7 linked regions of the Xenopus tropicalis genome follow. The protein of the gene in region 3 interacts with the protein of the main gene of each other region in a pairwise test. Links are inferred from orthologs where the notes say so. Each region holds a gene or a part of one and is shown on either strand. Other genes may lie near its edges. The genes, in order: ift20, ccna2, traf3ip1, kansl1, sfr1, abi2 and smc4.

Region 1 (4,012 bases), on a different chromosome or scaffold from region 3:
ATGCTTTCAGTTATATAACCACGCCCAACCCAGTCATCTGTGATGTCACCAGAGGGATTTGCCACAAACCAATAAATAAATAAAGGGAATGGTGCCCGCAGTCATCAACCACACCAAGAAATCAGAGCAGCCCATTCTGCTCATTTCCCCCAGCTTCTCTCACACCAGCCAGGCAAATCCCTTAAGAACCACCTATCCTTCTGACTCCTGCTATTATTGTGGTTCTTTCACATGACGATCCTGCGGTTGCCTTCTACATCTGAGAAGTAACAACAGTTGTGGTAGCAGACTTATTGGTCAAATGTTAAAAGATACCCCCACCACAGTATTCTTAAAATATATCAAGCGACTAAATGGGCATCTTAAGATCTCTTAAAAATCCTCATGTCGTGACAGCACCTAGAAAGTAACTTATTGAGGGAGGAAGGGTTCAATTTATGTGACAAACAACTGTTGGCTATGGGAAGCTGCAGAGTAGCTCTTTGCCAAAAGAGAAATTAACAGAAGCCATTTGGGGTTACGTTTTACTTTAAAGTGGTAGTCCACCTGAAAATTACCTGTAAGTATGTTATGGACTATGGCATTCTCATTAACTGGATATTTATTGATAGGAGTGGGAGTAACACATACATTAAAGCACCTTATCTATAGATTTCAGTAAAAACAGTGGCATCTGCTGCCCAAGCCATTATTCTGCATCAAATGAGAGATCTATTTGGCTTTACTCATCAAGAAGATCTATTTATTTATTTCAAATTCAAGAACCTATCAGTGTAATACATCTTTTACACATGAGATGCTGCTATCAATGAACTTCAGCCTTTTAACCTGAGCCTATAAAGCATCTATACAGAAAGTTAGCCCCAAAATCTGATGTTTCTAGGTCAAAGGGGCTGATTACAAAAGTGGTACAAATAAACATGTTTTTATTGTCTGTTCAGAAATTTGAGAGGGCTGCTTTACTATGTCTTTAGCAGTACAGAGCATGGAAAAACCCCCATCTTAGTAATGATTGTGTGATGTAACAGGGAATACCACACACTGGCACAAAATGCTGGGGCACATTTGCAATTTACTATATTACTCTAAAATTCATGGTTTTAGAGGTTTCTAAAAACCATGAAAAAACTCATTTCCACTAAAACCAAGGGGCTGATTTACTAAGACACGAATTCGAATTGGAAAAATTCAGATTGGAAAATGAACATTTTGCGACTTTTTCAGCGCCTTTACGACTTTTCGGAAATTGTCGCGACTTTTTCGTTACCAATACGATTTGCGCGAAAAACGCGAATTTTTGTAGCCATTAAGATTCGCTCGTATCTTGTCGCGACTTTTTCGTATTGAACGCTCGTAAGCGGCGGGCGAAACTTTCAGACTTAGCAAGATTTTGGAAGCCTCCCATAGGACTCAATGGCACCCTGCAGCTCCAACCTGGCCCAAGAAAAGTCACCATACTGAAGCTTGAATGAATCCGAACGCTACGAAAAAATCACAACATTTTGCGCAACTTTCGGAATGGCTACGAAAAAGGCACAACTTTTCGCTTAAGTTTTAACGCTCTGAAAAAATCGCCAGATTTTGCGCAACATTCGGAATGGCAACGAAAAAGTCGCGATAATTTTCCGAAAAATCGCCAAATACCGATCATTACGAAAAAACCGCAATTGGACGCATTCGGCCCGTTCGTGGGTAAGTAAATGTGCCCCCAAGTGTCTAGTCATTTGTTGAAAGAACTAAAATGCAAAACAAAAACCAAAAGAACATGAAAATATGAATCATGAAAAAAAAATACAAACATTAACAAACGCTGCCTTCGGTTTTGTGATGAGGGACAAAGATGATGGATCTCTTTCAGACCCTGAACACTATGTGGCTATCCTGAATAGGATAACAGAGAGATCCCATCATGCTCACACAAATATGGGTGTCCCTATAGCATCAAGCCTCTTACTCTTACCTTATTCCCCTGCCATGGATGCACTAAGTGCACAGACAGGATGAGATTTCCTTATGCACAGTGGCTGCAGGTTTCTGAGCACAAAGGCCAGTTTGCCCCATAGTGCCCCAGAACTGCCCCTCTCTGTCCTGCCTGCCCTACACTAGCCCTGTAAGCAGCCTCAGCCTAATACAATCACTAGGTACATCTCATAAAGCTGATAATGAAGATAATTGTGTTATTTATTAGACACATACTAGTGTAGGAATGTTCCAGGCTACTATGCCGCTGTATCTGTTGCTGACTGACTGTCTCCTACCCCAGTCCCACAAGGTGGAGCTGCCAATCAGCAAAAGCTGCCCTGTTAACGCTGAAAATTCTGTGGAGCGCAATGAATTTGGGAATTTTTGCCAAGGGCTTGTCACCCATAGCAACCAGATGTTTGCTTGTAACAACGACATGCCACCTGCAGACTGGATGCTATGAGTAACTTGCTCAGTATCAGAATTATCGCCTTTTATTCCATTAGCCCCAAAGTCCCCGGAACGGTCACATTTACTGCCCCACACCAGCTGCTCTTACCTCCCGGTACCCTTCGGCTTCAGCTGCCACGGATACAACTCGCTGCTGTTTACAGACGTCACTTCCTAGGACACAATCTAGATTCCATAGTGACAAAGCGGAAGCTGAGTATGTGGGCGCCATGTTGCATACTGGCAAAACATTATTCCAGAAACTTGATTGTGTAGTTGAGCTTCGAATCGTCCTCACGGAAAGTGACTAAATCTCTGTTGGAAGCGATATGATGCAAATTGAGAACATATTTAATACTGGAGGTGTATTACCACAGGTGCCTGACTGCGTTCACATAAGATATAGTTGTTCTGGCGTACACACATTTTTAGAGAGTAAAAAGTCTGCAGTTATAAAAAAAGGTCATGTTAAAGCCCACGACTTTCTAACCGGTAAATCCAGAACTAAATATGTCCGCTAGTATTAATTCCTTCTTTTTAGCGAGGTTTAAGCGATGACCAGGGAACTAATGCCGAGGGACAGCGCCATGGGTTTCCGGGAGTTTAGTTTGTTATTGCCTAAAATGCGTAAAGCTGCGGCGTAGGTCAGTATAGCTTGCTACTACATTTCCCAGCATGCCCTGGCGCTGGGCGGTGCCTAACTTGACCCAAGATGATTGTGCGGGCGGTTTCTGTGGCAACAAGTTGCGGAAGTGACCTCAGCTAGTGGAAAAGATGGAGGAAGATGTGGGGAAGTGAGTGAAGCGGAGCGCCCTGTATGTAGTGTTGTTAGTAGTAACCCGTGTAGCTGCAGGTGTGTGTGGGACAGAGGATGCGGCACGGAGGTACGGCTTGTAGGAACTGCCCCACTGGGGGCGCTGTCACACAGGGGCTTATTATCAGCCACACGCCCATAGCATGATACAGAGGGATGGCTCACATGCAGGGCCATGTACCGACCGACACATTAGCGTGTAGCAGTATGGGGAGGCCTGGCCAGGAAGGGAATTACAGTAACAGTATGGGGAGGCCAGGAAGGGAATTACAGTAGCAGTATGGGGAGGCCTGGCCAGGAAGGGAATTACAGTAACAGTATGGGGAGGCCTGGCCAGGAAGGGAATTACAGTAACAGTATGGGGAGGCCTGGCCAGGAAGGGAATTACAGTAACAGTATGGGGAGGCCTGGCCAGGAAGGGAATTACAGGTAACAGTATGGGGAGGCCTGGTCCAGGAAGGGAATTACAGTAGCAGTATGGGGAGGCCCTGGCCAGGAAGGGAATTACAGTAGCAGTATGGGGAGGCCTGGCCAGGAAGGGAATTACAGTAACAGTATGGGGAGGCCTGGCCAGGAAGGGAATTACAGTAACAGTAATGGGGAGGCCTGGCCAGGAAGGGAATTACAGTAACAGTATGGGGAGGCCTGGCCAGGAAGGGAATTACAGTAACAGTATGGGGAGGCCTGGCCAGGAAGGGAATTACAGTAACAGTATGGGGAGGCCTGGCCAGGAAGGGAATTACAGTAACAGTATGGGGAGGCCTGGCCAGGAAGGGAATTACAGTA
Region 2 (2,720 bases), on a different chromosome or scaffold from region 3:
CATGTCATGGAAAGGAATATTAATACTCAAGTTACTCTTACATCCCCCTAAGCAGTTTGTCTCTACATGGAGCTGTGTGCAATAAGCACATACTTTGACAGTTAGGTCAAATAAATTTGCATGCTCCTTTGATTAGACAACCAAACTGACCAGCTTCTGGTGGAAGAGAAGATTGCCAATTCCCAAAAATACAGAAAGTTTATTTACATGAGAAAGCCTATATAAAATTCTCATGTTAGCAATTGTTCCTTTAAAGGGACCTGAGCAAAATAATGTACAGTGCAGGACTGTCAACCAGAATCAAGTGAGGAGGTGGATAGGAAATGTTAAGCTGTCAGAAAGCCATTGTATGAAGTGAATAGTCACATCTGTATAGGTGCATACATACCATGCTTAGGCTTTCCACTTTTGGAGAGACTGGTTGTATTTGGAAGTACTGATTGAGGTACTGTAAGATTGTTGGAGCAGCAAGGTCAAACGACAGAACTTTCAGCACCAAGTGTTCCATCTTGAGAACCTGTTTCTTTGTGTATGTATCATCAGTAATGTAAACAAACTCTGCCACTTCAGGAGGATAGATTTCTTCGAACTTTCTATACAAAACAAAAAGAAGCTATAAAGGCAGTTTGAACCAAGAGTTACCTGGTTATGCCTAAAACAGGATTCCAGGGCATAGTATGAAAGGAACAGTAACATCAAAAAAGTGTTTTAAAGTGATTAAAATATAATGTGCTGTAGCTCTGCAAAAAACTGGTGTTTTTGCTACAGAAAAGCTACTATATAAATAAGCTGCTGTGTAGCCATGGAGGCAGCCATTCAAGCTGGAAAAAAGGCACAGGTTACATAGCAGATAACTAGTAGATAAGCCCTATATAATGGGGGTTTATCTGTTATCTGCTAAGTAACCAGTGCCTTTTCTCCTTTGAATGGCTGCCCCCATGGCTACACAGCAGCTTACTTATATAAACTATAGTAGTCTTTCTGAGGCACACACCAGTTGTAGCAATGCACAGCAACAGTACATTATATTGTAATTACTTTTATACACTTTCATTTTTTGGTGTTACAGCTCTTTTAACACAGTGCACTAACACACAACTGTATATTCACTAAAGCTGTGAAAGCCACTTGAGAAAATATTTAAACTGAAAACCAGAGAGCTGTACATAACTGCCCAGCAGCAAGCTAAATACTTTAAAAAGGATGCAGAATTAAAAAAAAAGTTTTCTTGCCGAGTATCAAGAGTTCAGATTTTGAATGCAGTACAAAATTATAAAACTTTTGTGACAAAGTAGGCAATGGGAATGTGTGTGCGTGCCAATGAAGGATGTTAAAAGACAAACTAAGAAACTGAAAACATTTACAGATGTGGATATAAGCTGCTTTAAATGGGGTTTATAACCCTTCAGAACTCCAATAATTAGCTGTGTAGTTAAAGGGATTCAGTCATTTTTACAGTATATTGTTTTATTTCTAAATTACACCGTTTACATAGCAAATAATTCACTCTACCATTTAACATTTTATTCTTAAGGCAACAAATATATATTTTTGTAGTGGTGATATAGGCAGCCATCTTAGTGCATTGTGCCTGATCCTGAGCTTTCAGAAGAAGCCAGAGCTACACATTAGAACCGCCTTCAGGTAACCTATTGTTTCTCCTACTCCCATTTAATTGGAGGAGTCCCAAGCCAGACTTGGATTTCTTACTATTGAGTGCTATTCTCATATCTACGGGAGCTTCTATCTTACTTGGGGAAGGGGGTGATATCAATCAAACTTGTAGCATAGCAGTAAAGTGTGACAGAAGTTTATCAGAGCACAGGTCACATGGCTGTGGCACACTGGGAAATAAATATGGGTAACTACACTTGAAATTTCAAAATTAAGAAAAAAAAAATGCAGGATTCTGCTGGAGAAGCTCTATTAACCGATGTAGTTTTAGAAGAAAAAAAAAAAAAAAAAAAAAAAACACTTTCCCCCCCATGACAGTACTCATTTAAGAACCTCCATTTAACCATTTCTTATGGCTATTTTATTAAGTGCTATTTCTACTTACGATGCTAAAAGCATTGCAGCGGTTCCAACCAGCTGGAGCTTGCCTCTCAATACGGACATAGATGAAAGAAACCTATCTATATAGTTTACAGCAAGGTACAGGGTTTCGTTTTGCAGCTTATACTCCTCACCAACTTCAACAAGCCAGTCAACAAGAATAGCTCTCATGTTGCCTGTTATGTCCGGTTGTTTTTGCATGTACCCAGACTTTGGTTTACACTTCACCTGCAGAAGACAAAGATGCAGTATTAATAACCAGATTAAAAAAAAAGTTGTAAAAATTGTCACCCATGGACATCAATGCATTTTGCAAATGTTGTTTCGAGAACTTTTTGGCAAAGTGAAATGGGACAGACACGACCATCACTAAACAGCACCAGTAACGGGGAGTAACACCACGCAGGGAAAATTAAATCCATTTCTTTCATGAGGCAGACAAAAATAGCAGTTATAAAACAGGGGTGATGAAAATGCCCATGTGAAACTGCTCTAAAGGGTAAACACTTTAAAGGACAAGGAAAGCCTAATTCAGAGGGGAGGAAGTGGCAAAGGGTTAGGCACCCCCTGTGAATTAAGCCACTAAGTTCTTTCTAAAGCAGCACTAGCATGTTACCCATCTCTACCAGGCATGCCTCTAACTTACACAATAAAAGTAGAATTCC
Region 3 (4,251 bases):
ACAAGGGCACCCACTCCATTTAGAAGAAGGGAGGTTCCGTTTAAATATTCAGGAAATGATTTTTTACTGTGAGAGCTGTGAAGTTCTGGAATTCCCTCCCCGAATCAGTTGTACTGGCTGATACATTATATAGCTTTAAGAAAGGGTTGGATGGCTTTTTAGCAAGTGAGGGAATACAGGGTTATGGGAGATAGCTCTTAGTACAAGTTGATCCAGGGACTGGTCCGATTGCCATCTTGGAGTCAGGAAGGAATTTTTTCCCCTCTGCTGCAAATTAGAGAGGATTCAGATGGGGTTTTTGCCTTCCTCTGGATCAACTAGTAGTTAGGCAGGTTATATATAGGCATTATGGTTGAACATGATGGACATACTTCTTTTTTCAACCTAACTTACTATGTTACATTCTGTCTGAGGCACGACCAGTTGAACAATGGCAGACACAATGGCAAACACAGGGAGCATATGCCTGCCTTATGGTGATAGTTTTGTAAATACAGACTGGGTCTCACTGTATATAATGTGCCTGGGATGTCAGTACCCACTGCCTTTCTCACTATAAAACTAACTAAAACACATTTAAGCTAACTGATCCTAAACACAAATGGATGGAGAACCCCTCACAGAAGTGCATGTATGAATATTTTTATATCCTAAGCATGTTAGGGTGAAAATACACCCCCATCCGCACTTTTGCACAGTATCCCTGGAAGTCAGTGGGAACGGCAAGAGGTAGTTGGGGGTTCATTTTTTACATCAACAGCCAATCCACTAAGTTTCACATTAGCTGTAGGTCAGTCTATGCATGGCCCATCTTTAGCCTCCCCGAACAAAAAACTCACCCTCCGCCTATGCAGTAGAAAAGAAAATCATTTGCCAACTTAAATTCATTGAATCTCATGAATTTGCACTATTATAAAAAAGCCAACAGGCTTTGGGATATATGGCAATTCATAAATGTAGGAAGGGGATAATACCAATGACTGGAGATAGAAATACTGAATGTTGGCTTGCCAGAGAGAAATATAAAAAAATGTACCCAGATATAAACAAAACAAACGAAATAAATGGTAAATTATTTACGTGAAATTGAATAGTTTGCCATTTGGGTTACAAATGTGTGGGCCTCATATTACAGGGTAATGTAACTGATGGTACTGCACCTCATATGATTAAAGAAAGCACAAACGCAACACGTTCGCCCCCTGGCACAATACCCCTGGCATCCTTTAGTCAGTGCAGTACCCTTTATAGCTAAAGTGCAAATGAGTAGGACCCAGCTTTCTGTTTCCCAATGAGACCCTCAGCTTTCATTTCATTTAGTGAACGTTGCACCTCACACCTTACTAGTTTACGCAATGAGTTTGTATAGTGTGTTATGACCTAATAGAACCCCACCCCGCGCTCTGTTACTGTTGGTTCCCATGACAGCGGACGCTTAGTAACAGGAGAGGCGACGCATGCGCAGAGGTCAGAACGCAATGGCTTGTGGGTAAGATAGGGTTGCCTGGCGCTGAAGAGGGCTGTAGCCTGGCGCTTGTAGGGAAGTGGTGGCTGCAAGTTAGGGGAGCTGAGGGTCGTGTGTTTAGCTTGTCAGTGAGATGGACCCTGCGATTATTGGGCGCACTCAGGAAACCCTGGGGAAAGTGATTCGCAAACCTCCTCTTACCGAAAAACTACTGGGAAAACCTCCGTTCCGCTATCTGCATGATATCCTGACTGAGGTGAGCTCACGGGCTTCTGTTTCTTTTGGCAAGGGATGCTGGGAAATGTAGTTCTTGTACAAGTCAGGGCTGGAATTAGGGTAGAGCAGAGAGTACATTCTCACTGGGCCCTGGTAGTTCATGGGCACTTTGTAATAATTGTTCGATAATTTGCCTATACATTTTATAGATGTGCAACCTGCGGCCCTCCAGCTTCATGTAAACTGCAACTCTCAGCAATGTATTCCACCTTCAGCCAGAGAGTTGGGAGCAGCAGCTGATGGGCTACAGGTTGGGTATCACTGGGTATATGCTGCCCCAGCATGACTTACTGGGGGGGGGGGGGGGGGCACTATTTAGCAATATCTGCCACTTACTGACTGACTGCCATGCTGGAGATCTCTACTGTCTGTATCTCCATACCCCCTAGTTTGCCAGACTACCTACACTCTGTCTTTATGGGGTGATTAGGAAACCATATCTCTTGGATGTGTGAGATTTCAATGTCTAGGATTCCTTCCACATCGCTGGCTCTTTGGGTTGGACCAAAGTTGTAACATGCTGCATAATCTTCCCAAACCTACACTGTGTTGCTTTACATTTTATTCCTTTGTTCGGCTGATTTTATGGAAATATTGGTGCCTAAATTTAAAGAATTCATAGAAAAAATTACCCTGACATCGCCAAACGAGCAGATCTTATGGGGACTGCTCTCTAGCCAGGACCTCCGTACTGTGTGATATTTCTATCCCCACATGATAGCTTGAGAGGAGGCTAAAACACACAACTGTTTTACTTACATTACTTGACTGTCATAGAGTCTGTGCAATATTAATATCTCCAATAATATAAATGAAATAATTTGCAGTGGTGAAAAATCCAGGTCTCTGTGAAATACACATGAATCTTCTGTTTTAATGCAATGTGGCCGAGAAGTCCATGGTGGTGTGCAGAACATTTCTTGTCCTGTTTCCAGGCAAATTATGTGAATGCCCAGTAAAAGAGAAATCTGAAGTTAATTGGGCTGCATCTGACATTTCTAGGTCTGGGGAATTTAAAGGCTAATAAACCTTAGTGTGTGGCCTCCCATTCTATTTTCCATAATGTCTTTGTGCCAACACCCTTTCTGGTTGTAGGTTATAGCTTTTAGCATGTACTGCGTTGGGTAGTCTATGGCAGTGTATAGATGTCCTGTGGCACCTGCTTCATGCCTGGTTGCAGATAGACCCATATGCTTGTTTCTGTCCAGGCATAAACATGAGAATAAATCACAAACACAATCTGGGCGATTACACCGATTAATAGGTCAGTACCTTCTATCTAAGCAGTGGTGTTTTTTCTTTCTGTGTACACAAAAAGGAAAATCATAGGAATAAATCTCCCTTTTGGTTGCAGGGTATACAAGGAAGCATTTAAACAGCATATAAATATATAAATCTAACTAGGCATGCCCATTTGGTCAGTCTTGAGCTTTCAGCAGTTTGCTGTTCTGCACTGGTGGCCAAGTTGCCTTTAGATGTAATTGCACAATACAGGTATCGGACCCCTTATCCGGAAACCCGTTATCCAGAAAGCTTCGAATTACGGAAAGCCTGTCTCCCATAGACTCCATTTTAATCAAATAATTCAGAATTTTAAAACTGATTTCCTTTTTCTATGTGGAAATAAAACAGTACCTTGTAACTGATCCTAACTAAGATATATATAATCCTTATTGGATGCAAAACAATCCTATTGGGTTTAATTAATGTTTTATTGATTTTTTAGTAGACTTAAGGTATGGAGATCCAAATTACGGAAAGACCCCGTTATCCGGAATACCCTTGGTCCCGAGCATTCTGGATAATGGGTCCTATACCTGTATCACCTAGAACAGGAGCCATTTTGGAGAAACATATAATAATAGTACCAAGGTTTTGTACTGTAGGTATATGTGAGATAAACTGACGAGTAGCTATAAGAGCAAATCTAGAAAGGCAAGGTGCTGCTTTGTGCAGTCTTAATCACTTACTTAAAAATTACTTGCATGTAGCACCAGTGCCTAGTTCAGCCTGTTGCGATAAATTGCACACAATGCAACATACAGGGTACATGGATGCAAAGGAGCAGTCATGAGAGGGCTGGCCCAAAAACTTCTAAAGGTGGCCATACATGTATCAATTTTGATCTTTTGTGAGACCATTGGTCGCATGAAAGATCGTTCCCACCCTCCACTGACGTTCAGGGCTGAATCGTCAGATATGGAGGTTGAAACAATAGAAATTCTATCTCCACCTGAAGGCACCTGATCAAAATCTTTTAACCTGGCCGATCGACGAGTAGACCAATATCTGCAGCCTTTTGTAATATCGTTTGCTTCTTTGAGCAGCCATACACGCACCGAATATCGCACGAAACAAGGTTTCGTACAATATTATCGGTGCATGTATGGCCGGCTTAATGCCGCACCAATACACAGATCAATTGAAGAGATGTTATTCCTGGGTTTCCTTGGTTGTTGTGCCTATCTGTATAACTGACCACCTACAACCTAGTGAATAAAACCCTAAAG
Region 4 (3,982 bases), on a different chromosome or scaffold from region 3:
TTGTAATAAATTGAAGTTATCTCAAGGAGTCTCAAGTAAATTAAATAGACCTTGAGAGGGTTGTCTTTCTTACATCTAAATTTTATTATTGTTTGCTTCCTACTGTCACACCTCTCCTTCTAATCCTGACCACTGTCCTACATTAGGGGTAGAGTGCTTCTGCCACTGTGACACGACTACAACTCTCAACATGCATTGCAAGCTCAGCTAATTGTTACATTTTGAGATCTGCAATTACAGAATAGCTGGATCACTGACACTTACAAATTCTTGCCCATAATAAAATTCCTCTCCTAATTCATAAATCATCCTCCTCATCCTCCATAATTTTTAGATTCCCTAGGTAATGACCCACTTCATATTCCCTGATAACCAATCCTCTTGTCCTCACATGTGTTGTGGGATTATTATGCATGAAACTGAGACTGTATTATATTACATTTTTTCTGGAGGCATTATATATATGGATTTGGCATGTGTTCTGGGGGCTAAATATATGGATCTGGCATGTGTTTTGGGGGCATTATATATGGAACAGGCATAAGTTCTGAGGGCATTATAAATGGAATTGGCAATGCATTTATCCTACTATGTTTCTGTGATATTTTATGTGAAACAGACATTACAGGTAATCCTGCAAGGTAATCTAAGATGTATTTTAAATTAAATTTCCACAGCATTTTTGTTGCTATGTGTTCTGGGGTATTACACATGGAATTGGCTGTGGGATATCATGAAAGAAGCTGGCAACTGAATTAAAAAAATAAAAAGGGAACAAAGAAAAGCATAATTGCAGAGGAAATAGGATAATTAAAGGTAGAATGGCCAGGTGCTGCCCCATATTTTTTTAATAGTATATGGACTACGTTTTTAAAATTACATGCTCCTCACAAATTAAGCAGGCTGCAGAGGCAGACCAAGCTCTAATGTTAAAGCAGCTGGGAGAAGCATCTAGTAAAAGGCCCCAGGGCATTACCATTTCCAGTGATAGGCTGTGTTGTCAATGATCCCTATCGACTATGGTCAGCAATGAGGACTCCCACACTCACAAATGGTAACAGTGAGGAACAGGGTCTAAGGGATGTTTCTTGTAATATTCAACCATCTGGCTTTACCCATAGACCATCCCTACCATGGATTTTCCAAGACATGAACCACTAACCCTGACTGCTATCTCACCATCCCCTAACTAATCCACTTGTCTGATGTGACCCATGTCCTATGAGCAGGCCCGGACTCGCAGTCTACAGATTCTGGCAAATGCCAGAGGGGCTGGTATAAGATGCCATAGACCACGTGTCAAACACAAGGCATGCGGCCTGAACTGCTGTTATTTTCAAAACATAATTAATGCACGAAGATGGCGTGTGATATGGTGTTTCAGGGTGAGGAAGGATCTATCCTTTAGTAAGATTAAGTATCTTAATAAAAAATTCAGCCCGCAGCTTAGCCTGTGTTTTAGATTTTGGCCCCCTTATGTGATTGAGTTTGACACCCCTGCCATAGACAGTCACTATTTATTGGGATTTTTTGGCCTCTCTGTACATGATATGCCATGGCCTATTTTATATCCCATTCCAGACCTCCTTATGAGAAGTCGAGATAAATAAGTTCATCCAGACCCCAAGAAAGAAAAGAGCAATGCTGGTGAGCTGTAAGGCAAGGAGCAGCATTAGTAAGGCAAAGCTGTGGGTCGTGTTTACTTCAAGAAAGTTACTGTTCCCTTCAGCCATGGGCACCCAGTCTGGATGTGCAGCCTTAGCAATGTGCACTGGATTGCTACCCATTTCTTTTCCCACTACAGATATTTAGGCTAATGGCACAGGACAAGGATTCTGTGTGCCACTGCCTTCCAGTGGAAAAGTGACAGAGGGTAACAAAATGCCTGCCATCTCGCCTACCTCCGTCAGAGGTCCATGGCCTCACATTTGCTTGCACATTTTAATACCGGACATCCGCTATCATCATTTAGAGGCACACTGTATGCTGCTTAGAAGTCATTGCAGTTTGCATTAAAATTATCACTAATTATATAAGATTTATATGTGTTTCATTTCATTTTTATGGTTACCACTCTTTTACTGTAACCCCAGAATAAATGGAGATAAAGGAATTTCTGTAGGACCTGTCCTGTCCTTTCAGTGCTATTAAAGACTCACATTATAAAAGCATGGCGCTTACTCACCATATTATCAGACTGTACCGATTTTCATTTGATCCATGGATCCTTGTTGCCTCATCCCGGCTGTTCCTCGGAGGCATCCTTGTAGCATTGTCTGCCAAAGGCCAGTTTGGGGGGTTCCTCTGCATCATCCATTGATATCTAGGATCACAAATAGTCATATTTTTTCACTCACGCTATCTGATTTAGTTTTTTTTTTTTTTTATTTTGTGGAAATTTTTAATAGGGTGGACTCTGGTAGACAGTGGTATTTGTATGTTCTCCCCTGTATGTATTTAGTATGAGTGAACATATATAGTATAAGTAGTGTCTGCCCTGCATGTGTGGCACAGTGTGGTAGTGTGCACTGGGGCTGTGCTCCCCCCACAGCTGATCCTATAAAGTTCCAGTATCTAGTGTATCTGGCCTGCTGACTGCTAGAGAATACTGGAGAATTCCTCACAGCCCCCTTCATCCCCAACTCTTGCAATGGGCTGTTCCATCTCTGCCCAGCCTCCTCTGGATGCCCAGGGGTGCTCTACCCCCACTCCCACTGCCACCTGGTGCATGAACCCCACACCCCAAGCACCCCTCAGTTTGCACCTACCTGCACAGCTCAACCAGTACTGCTGGCTCCGGTGCCACCCTTTACCCTCCCTTGCAAGCTCCGGATTGGTGAAGGTCCGGAGGAGCTTCGCGCGATTGGTTAATGAGTTGTCCGTCAAGCTGTAAGGGGCGAGGCCCTGTGCGATTACTGTGTCCCTACTGTGTGTCTGGTTGCAGGATATGAATAAGGGGGAGGGGGGCTTTAATGGGACATGGGGAGACCGCTAAAATAGGGACACTTTGCACCATGAGCGCTGAATTAATTGTTTATAAATCTGCAGAGAAGTGACGAGGGAGGGATACTCTATATCCAAAGCTGGAAAGTGGGTTATGGTTTTGGGGGGGCCATGAACCATATCTTTATGTAAAAATTTCCATCCACAAAGAGACTTCAATGCGCAAGAATGTGGGGTCTGTCACACAGCGTCCCAGTTATTCCTAAACTACAGCTCCCAGCATCCTCTGAGAGGAATTGAAGAGCACAAGTGTAATGCCACCATAAGCTCAATGTATGGCAGTTACCAGGAGTAACTTGGTTACCCCCACACCCCATTACTAGTAAATCTCACACTGGCCTGAAGGCTTATATAGCTCAACAAAAGCTTTTGGGACACATATTGGCTATCCCTAGCCTAAAATCTGAAGACAATTTGTTGCCCATGAAATAACATGTGGAAATCACTTCCTGATATCTATGCCACAGATAAAAGCAGAATTTCTTGTACCAAAGCACAGCAGTGACACAAGTGCATATTTATTAAATTTTACCTTTTAGTAGCATATTTGAAATATTTTCCCCTTATAAATATGTCCTTATATAATATACCCCACTATTTGGCTGCCTTAGGTGCCAGAGCCTGTCTGTCCTGTGCTGACTTCACCTCACTTCCATGGTTCAGTCTGTCTCAGTGTTAGGCTTGCAGAAAGGGCATAAGTATAACTAAATGTCACTAGGTTACCCCCCCCCCCCCCATAACTTGAGGTACTTTTCTCCAATATATATTTAAACTGAACATCAGCTAAGCATTTCTGAGCTGGCCTTAAGGCAGCTTACTGGCCCATGTATGTGGCATCCCTGACCAGTGTTGGACTGGCCCACCAGGATACCAGGAAAACTCCCGGTGGGCCCAGGCGTCAGTGGGCCCTCCTGCTCCTGACCATTTGGCCTACTTCATGGTCATTCCCAATTTCTGAATAGGAACAAAGAGGAAAAAT
Region 5 (2,573 bases), on a different chromosome or scaffold from region 3:
GGTATCAGCTAAAGTATAAGCAGAGACCTTTTAGCAGTCATCAACATAGGTGACCTATTGTCCTCAATGTTCACACTGAAAGTGGGGTAACAATACTGTAACAGCAGTCATGCAGATATTTCACAAGTGTCTAGCTGTATCACCCACACCAGTGGCATTGTGCAGCACCAATGGGGGGACAATTTTAGGTGTAACCCTGCATAATACATTAAAATGTTAGCAAATGATGTTAAACCTCTTCCACAAATAACCTGATACCCATAATACAGCTCCCAAATTAATTCTCCTTAACCTGAAACACAGGTTAACCCATTATGCTTTGTAGAAACCCCACACCTGTGGCCATTAGAAGTTAAATGCTAGGATGCCACTTACACTTTGCTACCCTTGCTGGCAAGTGTTTAATATATTGTAAAATCATTCTGCCATCCCCCTTTATACACCAGTAATCATACGGTACATATAAATAGGTGCTTGATGTAATGATTACAAAGTCAATATGCTCTTTTTTATTTTATTTTTTTTGTTTTTAAATAGAAGCATGAAAGAAATGGTTTTTTTTTTCCTCTTCTATTTCTAACAACTTTTTTGGCACTTAGCCTGTAAGTAAAAACTTGAAATGTAATGTTTACAATTATGTAATATTAGTTATATTACTATGAAAAATATTCTGTTCACATAAATACCAACTATTAACGAAGACAAACAAGTTTCTGTTCTTTGAAGGTGTTCCAGTAGTTCTTTTCTTATTAATAGTGCAGAAAGATGTCACTGATCTGTAAAATCCTCTTCTGTTCTGCTATAGTGCAGCAATTTTTCATCCAGCCCGCAGCTTTCTATTAACTGTGTGAGTGTAACCTTGTTATTCTCGGCTGATAACGCTGCTTGCAGTTCATACAGTAAGAGCTGGCTGCCCTTCCGCCATTTTTCTATTAGAGACTGTAATTCAGACAGATTGTTCTAAAATAGGGAAAATAAAGACTACTATAAATATAGACCATATAGAAAATTGCAGCTGTCTTAACACCTTTATTAGTAATACAAGCATGGGATCTGTTACACAGAAATCACTAGCCAGAAAAGATCTAAAATCCAGCAGTGCTTTCTCCCATAAAGCACAGCCAATGCTTAAACTTAAACATTAAATAAAGCCAATAGGATTGTCTTGCCTCTAATAAGGATATATTATTAATCTAGTGGGGATCAAGTATAAGTTAATGTTTTATTTATTACAGAAGAAAAGGAAATTTAAAATTTTTTGCCTTCCTCTGGATCAACTAGCAGTTAGGCAGGTTATATATAGGTATAAAAGGTTTAACTTGATGCAAAGCCGGCCTTAAGCCAATTGGACCTATTGGGCCCTGAACCAGCGGGAATAAGCACATAACACTGTCCAGCTCATCCCCAACAATGACTGCCCAATAATGCTGCTATGTGTTCTGGGACATTAAACACAAAGTGGGAACTGCATTCATACTGCTACCTCAGGGTACACACTGTATTTGACTTTCTATAGTGTGCTTGAGGGGCCAATAATCATTGTCTCACACTGTATATAGTATGCTTGGTGTGTCAGTGCCCAGTGCTTAGGGGCCAATGGAACAAGAGAAAGACAGGTGAAAAGGCAGGGTTACAGCATCAGACACATGGACAGAGCGAGAGGCAAGGACTATTTGGCCACCCAACCAGGGTTGGACTGGGGGGGTGCAGGGCCCACCGAGGCTGCTGCCCCAGGGGCCCTGCAGGTGCCTGCGCCCGGCCGCATCCCCTACACCCCTGCAGGGGCCCCCACTGAGCCTCCCTTACCCCCCCCCCCAGGGGCCCCTGCTGAGCTTCCCTAACCCCCTCCTGGCATAAAGATAGTACATTTATACAGTAAGGGCAGACCTTAGATCTGTAGAGTTTCGCCATTTTCAATCTCCTCAAAGTATCTTCTTTCTCCTTCACCTTCTTTAGCAGTAACTTTTTTTCTTGAAGCATCTCCTGGTGATGGAAGGAATCCTTGGAATTGATGGGTGAGGAAGCTGCAGATGAAGTCCCGCTACTTAATCTGTGTACATCTTCCACAGATACGAAATTAACGTCTGTTTTTGTAGCATTTAATTCTGAGTCTTTGTGTGATGGCAAATTATTATTGGGACAGTCTGAGGAACTTTCATTTTCTTCACAATCAACTTTGAGTCGTTTTGCCACTGAAAATGCACCATTAAATGACCTTCTGGTTTTTCTGAGCCGTTCCCTTAGTGTTGCACTCATGGGCTAAAAACACAATTGTTGATAGCAAAAGTAATGTGAACAATTCAGACTACAAGGCCAATCAATGTCATCAAGTACTTAACATACGTACATATAACTTTATTTAATAGACGCTACAGAGGTACGCAGCGATGTGCAATATTAAAATATAGAAAAGTACAAACAACAATAATTGCTTCTATCAAAGGCCTGTTGCCCTGTTTCCACCCTAGGATATCCTTTAAAGGAGAAGGAAAGGCTAATAAAGAGATAATCTCAAGATGCAGGCATACCTTCAGTTGTCTCAATAGTGCCCTTAAGTCTCCCCATATTTCACC
Region 6 (3,500 bases), about 6.5 Mb from region 3:
AACCCCTGAGTGGCAAAGTGGCAAGCTATAACCGCACATCGGGCATCATATTGCATGGGACAGATTTGAGGAAGAATCTTGTTTACAAACTTATCTGAAATATATTATTAATCTACTCTAAAATTAATTTGTCTTTTTCAACTGATGATTCTTCATTGTGTTAATTAAAGAACACAAATGCAATGTAACTCCTAAGCGGATACTGAAACCATAAAAAATTATATTATAATTCATATAATATTATATTATTATACATTGTAAAACCTCTTGGATCCACCACCAGCTAGTGAATCTGACTGAGATAAGGTAATACTCAGGTAAAGTAAGGTAGGTTAGACCTGCTTATCTTTTTTTTAGAAAAATATAACCTCAGGAATAGTACAATTCTTCATAAAGCTTTATTCATTATCTTATTTTATTAGTTCCCCACAGGTAGTTTTTCAGCATATATTTATTTAACACACACATTATCTATAGGCAAATATGAGTATAAAGCTGGCCACATGCCTATAGATCCTCTCATTTGGTGAGTAGGGCAGTATCAGGCTAATCCAATAGTTTGTCCCTCAGGCCAACCGTAAGGTCATAACTGCTGGCAATGCAGGCCATCAGGAAAGGGGAGCATTAACATAGGACTACTTTTTGCTCACAGATGATGTAAATTTTCATTTTTCTTAAATCTAAATATGCAATTATTAAGGACAAACTCTTTTATGGAAGATTAAGTTTTTAGGATTCCGTGTCCAGCTGAATGACAATATTGTTTCCATTAACAAAAGCAAGGTAAATTTATACGAAATACAGCGTGGTCAACATTCCCTATGTATAATAATCTCTTAGTACATAATATGTATTTGATCCCCAAAACTTCTTACCTTAAATCTAAGCAACCACTTATTGCACAAATGAAGCAAATGAAAGCAAATTGAAAAGTTAGTTGGTTCTAACAAGAAATGAGAATAAAGAAAACAGAAGCAAGTTACACCTTTGGTACATACACAACATAATGCAAAGCAATGTGTTACAGGCAAAATGTATTATGAACTGTACAAGAAATAGTAAAATGGCATGTTTACTACACACACATAATATTCACTAATACTGAAAACAGTATTTGTATTTGTCCATTTCTAACCTCTGCCCTTTTGGTTCTGAGCCTTAAAACAATGTAGAAGAGGCCAGATGATTAACAAACTGGAAAGCTGTACCCAAGGCATTGTGGGAATCAGAGTCTTGGCTGGAAGAGATATGGCTTCTGCTACACTGTTTAAACAGTTAGAACTAGCAGTGCAGAAAAGGGCAAACACAGCTTTTATTTTTTAACACATTTAAAAATAACTTTAGAACAACTGAAAATCAGAAATGAATGTATACTGTAAAGTTGCTTAGTATTTTCTTCAGGTGGCTGTGGCACTCTGGGAAATGAAGAATATGGCTAGCCCCATGTGAAATTTCAAAATTAAATATTAAAAGAATCTGTTTGTGTTTTTGAAAAACAGATTTCAATGCAGGATTCTGCTGGAGAAGCTCTATTAACTGATGCATTTTGAAAAAAAGCATGTTTTTCCCTGACAGTATTCCTTTAAGTGCCTATTGACAAAGTGATGTGTGTACAGCTAAAGCTGCATAAGTTCACCCAACAAATGCTACTCAAGAATTATTTCGGGTACGGGTATTTTAACAGAAAATAGCCCAGCATGACCAAAAATAAATATCCCACTCACATCAAAATGTATGTGTATGTATGAATGCTGAATAAAGTTAAACTGTGCCCTATGTTTAAGAGATATTAAATCATATACAAAACCCAAAAAGAAATTGTGTATGTTTCTTACAATCATGCAATGTGTGCCAAATTCTCTAGTGTAAGACAAAATGTTTTCCCCTAATTAAAACCCATTATGTATATAGTATACGTTGAACACATACAAACAGGAATATATTTAAGTATAGAATAGAATAGAATTTTTACAAGCATGTTCTACCTTCACTCCATGTCCAGTGTCATCAAGAATTGTGTAATCAATAGGTTTACGAATATAACGGACTGGTCGCTCCAAGTTGGCAGGAGCAATTATTTTGTGTGTTCTAGAGGTGTTTTTGTTGGTCGTCAAAATTCCAATTTCTCTTCTAGCTACTTTTTCTTTATGAATGTCCACAGTCTAAAAACCAGAATAATTACAAATTAAACAGCCTCATTATATATAGCCTCATACAGATGCAATTCACAGTTACCATATACTCCTTTACCCTTAATCACATAGGCATAACAATGATTTCCCTCCCTCAAGCTTTCTCTGAAAGTCATAAGCATATCTGTTCCATGTGTCTGCAAGATGAAGCAGTGCCTCTGGGTGCAGACACAGGAAAGGGAGGATGCAAGTGGAGTGGCTGTTTCTCGGGTCTGCACTTACACACAGGCAGTGAAACAGCCCAGAGCAGCACAAGCCTAAGGGCCCTGATATACGGGGTGCTTAGTCGCCCCATGGAAAATCTCCTCCCACATAAGCAACAAAGCACCTGACAATACCTGCACATTCACATTTGTTGGAATGACCACATATAATATGTGGCTATTCCAATGAATGCAAAGGGGCATATATTGTTGGTGCTTCAACGCCTGCGGGAAAGATCTCGCACTGGATGATGAAGCAACTTGTGTAAGCACCCTAAGGCCAGGGGCACATAGAGTGGTTTGTCCGCAGGTGGAGAAAATGACAATCCGCTCTGTGAGCCCCTGACCTAAGATATAGCAATATGTGACAGATGAAACCAGATAACCATGCCACCCAATGAGTTAAAGAAACAAGATACAAAGAAATAGTCATCTAAATTAGCAGACAACTATATTACAACAATTATAAAAAAAAGTTATTTCTTACCTGTGAAATATGATTGATGGATGACTCCATTCGTCTAAGCTGTGAAGCCTGTATATCCAACATCTGAAGGACATTGTTGGCTAAGGTGTTGATCAGATAAGCCACGCTAGCTAGAGACTGTGTTGTATAGGCTTTGGTTTCTTCTAGGGCTCTCTGCTTGTCTGGAGACTAAGCACATACGAAGACATTAGTGCATCTGTATGATGTAATTCAGTTTTATTAACCAGAGAATGCATCTTGTACATTTAAAATAATATTACATAGAAGTTAAGTAAAAACTGACTCTATAAAACAACCAAAATCAAAGCAAAGCAAGGGTCCAGTGTATGATGAAGGGAAATATCTGCTGCTATAAATGTGTACAAAGACACATTGACAATGCCCTATAGTCAAAAATGAACTTGAATACAGCTTGAATTCCTCTCATGATTACAAAGTACCACAAAAAAATGTTGCGATAACTGCTAATTACCTGATGTTCATCTGTGCGGACATTCTGTTGCATTATCGAAAAGTAGTAGTATAGGTATATACTTGCTCTATGTAGTAAATTTGTGTGTATGTGTGTATTTAGTTTAATGCATGTAAATTTAAGTATGAAGTATATTTTCTTAAACA
Region 7 (3,984 bases), on a different chromosome or scaffold from region 3:
CTGGCTGGAAAAAGGGGCTACATGCACAGTTCTGAGCAGGTGAAGGATTAAAATTAAGGCAGGGCTCCTAACTTTTGTTAATATTAAAATATTTCCAGACCCTTTGGTGACAGCAGGAGGTTGATCAAGGCTATACAAAAGGTGAAGGCCATTAGTATCACTGTGGGCAAGTCAGGAAACTATGGCTCTGTTATCAATGGGGTCCACAAAGAGGAAGGTTTGTATATTACTATACAAACTTGGCAGCACTGACCTAGAGCTAGATTACTACTGGACAAAAAAAATAGGGTAAGTACAACCTACTTAGATCAGATCTCACACATGCGACACAGGGAGGATAGTTACACCGGGCAGCATTATTCACCTGGCCCTTAAAGCATTACTTGTGTTGGAATTTACAGGAATCTTTAAAGTTGTAGCTTCTATAGGCCCAAAATAAGAATGTAGTTTCTGAAGGAAATCGTGCTTTGGGATCACTATATATTTGATCTACGCATCTTCAAATAATTCGGAGGCAGCTAATAGTATGTTAGACACCGTAATAGCCTGAGCGGTATTAAAACTTCCTATTGTACAGATCTGGCAAGCCGCAGGATACTTATTATATAAAAACCGCATACATTACAAACATGCAAGCGCAAATCCGCACGTTACCTGCGCTGTACTCCGCTCACACGCAGGCCTTCTCCTCCGGCGATGCTTCAGTTCTGTATCTATCGGCGGTCGCTATGGTTACTTCTCGCGATACTTAGTCTGATTGGCTCTCTGCCTTTCTGCCTATGGCTTAGCGCAGTGACGTACTGGGAGCCGTAGGTTAGGTACATACTGATATTTTAGCTTCCAACTTTGTAATAGTTGAATGTGGTAATAACAAATACAATACTCACACATTAAGGGAAAGCTTTGACGCAACGTTTTTATTCAACTCGTATCGGGTCAAGGGCATAAATGTACTAAACCATCCCAAAATCATTAATGGTTACTTCACATTTCTTTATACGTCAAAATGTTCAGCCAGGCGATTAAAACTACATACTGTATATCTTAATTTCACTGCGTATATCAATATGGAAATATATTATAGAGTAAAATAGTATCTTTCCACTGTACTTTATGTACTTTATGACAGGCACTAGCCAAAACCAAAGATGGCCGATGTTTTGCTACCTCGGCGGCTCACACTGTCCTCCACCCTCCAATCACCGTCCTTCTCACATCTGTAAGAAAGACAGCTCTCCTCACCCCTCCCACTTGGACAGCTCATACACTGGCACTCCCATTAGTGTTGCCACGCAACCAAGCCCCGCCTCCAAACCGCCTTAAAAACTGAGTTGTAACTGTTCTATAAGTATGCATTTAATTCTTATGAATATGTTTTGAAGCAAGTATAACTTTGTTACTCAGCAAGCGCTCGTCGCGTGTAACCATGTGTTTGTATAAACTGTAACTCTCTGCTTACTTCTTCTGCTGGATGAAAATGGCATCCGCACTCTGAATTTTTTTTCAAATCTTGAGTGTCAGCTCCCAGAATGCCATGCGCCGTGTAACGAATTTCGGTTCGAGTTTGGATTTTGGGCGCCATTTTCGAGTGGAGTAGCTGAGCAGTCAGGGAGGAAGGGCTGTGCGCAGTCCCAACTTGAAAACAGCCGTTTGGGAGACGAAAATCATTCAGTCAGCGCTCGGCTACAGCTCGAAAAATCGGCAAAAAAATCAAGGAAGCCACTGTTGAAAGGGGGGATTGACTGGAGCGATTTTTCAGGTGATTTTCCGCCAAAATTGTCATTTTTTAATTTTAGCGGGCTGGAGAGGTGTGACAGGCAGAGGAGCCGCCGCTGCCCCCATACACGGCACAGGCACTTATTTCTCCTGATGGCCGGCGCGGACATTCTCTCTTGTTCCTACGCTGCCCGGTGTGTGGAATGTAGTGCCCGGCTCTCTCAGTGGGACGTAGTGCCCGGCTCTCTCAGTGGGACGTAGTGCCCGGCTCTCTCAGTGGGACGTAGTGCCCGGCTCTCTCAGTGGGACGTAGTGCCCGGCTCTCTCAGTGGGACGTAGTGCCCGGCTCTCTCAGGGGTGCCCACTGGCACTTCCCGTTATTTTCTCCACACAGTTAGGATTGCGTGTAACCCTATCTTGCGAGGGATGTGCAGCCTGCTGCTTCTCAGCTGTCCAACCACAAAGCCTGATGCCGGCAAACAGCTGGAGGGCTGCTGCTGGTGGGACGCTTGATATATAGAAATAATGGCACAGGCGATTGTGAGCAGCTGCGAGGCTGCGGGAATGGATACCCTCGCTGGATAGCATTGATGTCACAACAGCAGCCGGAGGGCCGCGCTTTCAGACAGACTTTACTGATAATACAGAATGGGTTTTAGCCCCGATTCCTTGCAGTTGATTTTGCTTGACAATAACGGGGTCTTCGCCTTTGCTTCTCCTGCTGTTGCTAAACTGACTCTGGAACTGTCAGCCAGGATTCAGGGTGGGTGCTGGGAAATGTAGTTTAACAGGTGGGGGGGGGGGGTGACATGCCTGACTGTCAACTGACACTAGAGCAAAGGTTTATTGTAGTGGGTGGGTGTCACATGTATATGGCTTTGTACTAATGTATCATTCTGTTCTCTCGGATTATTATATCTCCTCATCTTCACCCCTCGGGCAGCTACACTGATTCGGCATACTAATGAAAGCGACATGGTATCGGCCGAGTAGAATCCCTTTGCGTCTCGGAGGTTACGGATCTCCCCCCAAATCTATAAAGCCTTTAGCGATGGATCTAATGGATGTGTGACTTTCGCATGAGCAGTGTGGCAGCTCCCACACGTACTAGTTCTATTGATACAAGAGAGGAGTGCAGTTAGCGCTGCCTTGTGCTCGGCTGAGCACTTACCAACAGAGACCATTTGTGATGCTCAGACCTTTCCTGTCACACGGACTCGGAATATCAGTGGGTCTGTCCCTCCCGTGGGTCTCTCACTAATCGCCCCCATATGAATAGTTTCGCTAAGTAGTTTGTGTTACATACACAATAGGCCATTATAGCGCTGTAACACACGGCTCTATCTGGGATAGGTTAGTAATCCCTAATAAGCAAAATGTCATATTTTTTTTTATTTTTCGTGTAAATTGCCCTTTTTTTGCATACAGGGTGAAGTGCACAGTACTAATAGTACACTAGGCTGTATTGGGTATTTTATTTGCTGGCAGAATAAAGTAAACAGCGCTAAATACACTTGGCTGTGTTAAAACCATTCATTTTAATCTGTATACAAATACCCTGACTTCTGTATCTGCATTCAAATAACATGACTTCTTATTACACCGGACTGTGCAGATCGTGTTCTTTACATACAGAGTAAAGCGAATAGTTTCAATAGGATATGGTATTTACATACAAAGCAAAGTGAGTAGCGCTAATAGTATATGGTACAGGCCCGGTTCAAGCGCTAACTCTGCTTTGTTGCCAGTGAAACAGCGTGTGCCCTAAGCGCTTTCTCATGGGTTTCTTTATTCCATTCCCAGGGCACCATGCCACCTAGAAAGACGAAGACGGCGGTGGCCAGAGAGGCCACAGAGAGCCCCATGGATGAGAGCGTCAGTGTGGCACAGGCAGGGCAAGCCGAGGCACCTACACAAGGTAAGCAAGTTGTGCCATTGTTGTACGGGGGATGGCTGATGGGACCGTGTCGCAGCAGGTTGTCCGAGTTCCTGGCCGACTGTTACATTGCATTCATTAGAGCGTCTGTGCAGCGGGCTCACAAGGGTCAATGTCACGTCGAATGGGAAATGTGGGGGATTTTTGTTGCGTTTTGCTCTGACGGGTGCAACCTTTAGGGGAAACTGCCAGCTATCTGTGTCCATTGCGTCAGGCTGGAAGGCACGGCGTTTCCCAATAGAGACCCAAGCGGACAGCCAGTGGCCTTTAGAAGGGGTGGGGGACCGCAGCCAATCGCTGAGGTACTTTTAACTCTTTATCTGTCGGGATGG

The links.
Region 1: the proteins of traf3ip1 (region 3) and ift20 interact in a two-hybrid assay, tested with the Homo sapiens proteins (2 studies listed by IntAct). The link is inferred for Xenopus tropicalis from reciprocal best matches to the Homo sapiens genes TRAF3IP1 and IFT20.
Region 2: the proteins of traf3ip1 (region 3) and ccna2 interact in a two-hybrid assay, tested with the Homo sapiens proteins (2 studies listed by BioGRID and IntAct). The link is inferred for Xenopus tropicalis from reciprocal best matches to the Homo sapiens genes TRAF3IP1 and CCNA2.
Region 4: the proteins of traf3ip1 (region 3) and kansl1 interact in a two-hybrid assay, tested with the Homo sapiens proteins (2 studies listed by IntAct). The link is inferred for Xenopus tropicalis from reciprocal best matches to the Homo sapiens genes TRAF3IP1 and KANSL1.
Region 5: the proteins of traf3ip1 (region 3) and sfr1 interact in a two-hybrid assay, tested with the Homo sapiens proteins (2 studies listed by BioGRID and IntAct). The link is inferred for Xenopus tropicalis from reciprocal best matches to the Homo sapiens genes TRAF3IP1 and SFR1.
Region 6: the proteins of traf3ip1 (region 3) and abi2 interact in a two-hybrid assay, tested with the Homo sapiens proteins (2 studies listed by BioGRID and IntAct). The link is inferred for Xenopus tropicalis from reciprocal best matches to the Homo sapiens genes TRAF3IP1 and ABI2.
Region 7: the proteins of traf3ip1 (region 3) and smc4 interact in a two-hybrid assay, tested with the Homo sapiens proteins (2 studies listed by BioGRID and IntAct). The link is inferred for Xenopus tropicalis from reciprocal best matches to the Homo sapiens genes TRAF3IP1 and SMC4.

What each region holds. Positions count from the first base shown.
Region 1 is NC_030678.2:47,412,886-47,416,897, forward strand, and holds the start of ift20 (intraflagellar transport protein 20 homolog), read right to left. Parts: upstream 2,801-4,012; 5' UTR 2,522-2,800; intron 1-2,521. UniProt on the Homo sapiens protein: Part of intraflagellar transport (IFT) particles involved in ciliary process assembly. May play a role in the trafficking of ciliary membrane proteins from the Golgi complex to the cilium.
Region 2 is NC_030677.2:66,838,343-66,841,062, reverse strand, and holds part of ccna2 (cyclin-A2), read right to left. Parts: intron 2,284-2,720; coding exon 2,060-2,283; intron 594-2,059; coding exon 389-593; intron 1-388. UniProt on the Homo sapiens protein: Cyclin which controls both the G1/S and the G2/M transition phases of the cell cycle. Functions through the formation of specific serine/threonine protein kinase holoenzyme complexes with the cyclin-dependent protein kinases CDK1 or CDK2.
Region 3 is NC_030685.2:60,708,000-60,712,250, reverse strand, and holds the start of traf3ip1 (TRAF3-interacting protein 1), read left to right. Parts: upstream 1-1,451; 5' UTR 1,452-1,598; coding exon 1,599-1,721; intron 1,722-4,251.
Region 4 is NC_030686.2:17,302,963-17,306,944, forward strand, and holds the start of kansl1 (KAT8 regulatory NSL complex subunit 1), read right to left. Parts: upstream 2,801-3,982; 5' UTR 2,769-2,800; intron 2,324-2,768; 5' UTR 2,186-2,323; intron 1-2,185. UniProt on the Homo sapiens protein: Non-catalytic component of the NSL histone acetyltransferase complex, a multiprotein complex that mediates histone H4 acetylation at 'Lys-5'- and 'Lys-8' (H4K5ac and H4K8ac) at transcription start sites and promotes transcription initiation.
Region 5 is NC_030683.2:27,807,280-27,809,852, forward strand, and holds the end of sfr1 (swi5-dependent recombination DNA repair protein 1 homolog), read right to left. Parts: exon of another isoform or gene 2,529-2,573; intron 2,260-2,528; coding exon 1,888-2,259; intron 961-1,887; coding exon 769-960; 3' UTR 501-768; downstream 1-500. UniProt on the Homo sapiens protein: Component of the SWI5-SFR1 complex, a complex required for double-strand break repair via homologous recombination. Acts as a transcriptional modulator for ESR1.
Region 6 is NC_030685.2:54,209,841-54,213,340, reverse strand, and holds part of abi2 (abl interactor 2), read right to left. Parts: intron 3,051-3,500; coding exon 2,883-3,050; intron 2,163-2,882; coding exon 1,986-2,162; intron 894-1,985; coding exon of another isoform or gene 876-893; intron 1-875. UniProt on the Homo sapiens protein: Regulator of actin cytoskeleton dynamics underlying cell motility and adhesion. Functions as a component of the WAVE complex, which activates actin nucleating machinery Arp2/3 to drive lamellipodia formation.
Region 7 is NC_030681.2:114,790,607-114,794,590, reverse strand, and holds the start of smc4 (structural maintenance of chromosomes protein 4), read left to right. Parts: upstream 1-1,184; 5' UTR 1,185-1,759; intron 1,760-3,519; 5' UTR 3,520-3,525; coding exon 3,526-3,634; intron 3,635-3,984. UniProt on the Homo sapiens protein: Central component of the condensin complex, a complex required for conversion of interphase chromatin into mitotic-like condense chromosomes.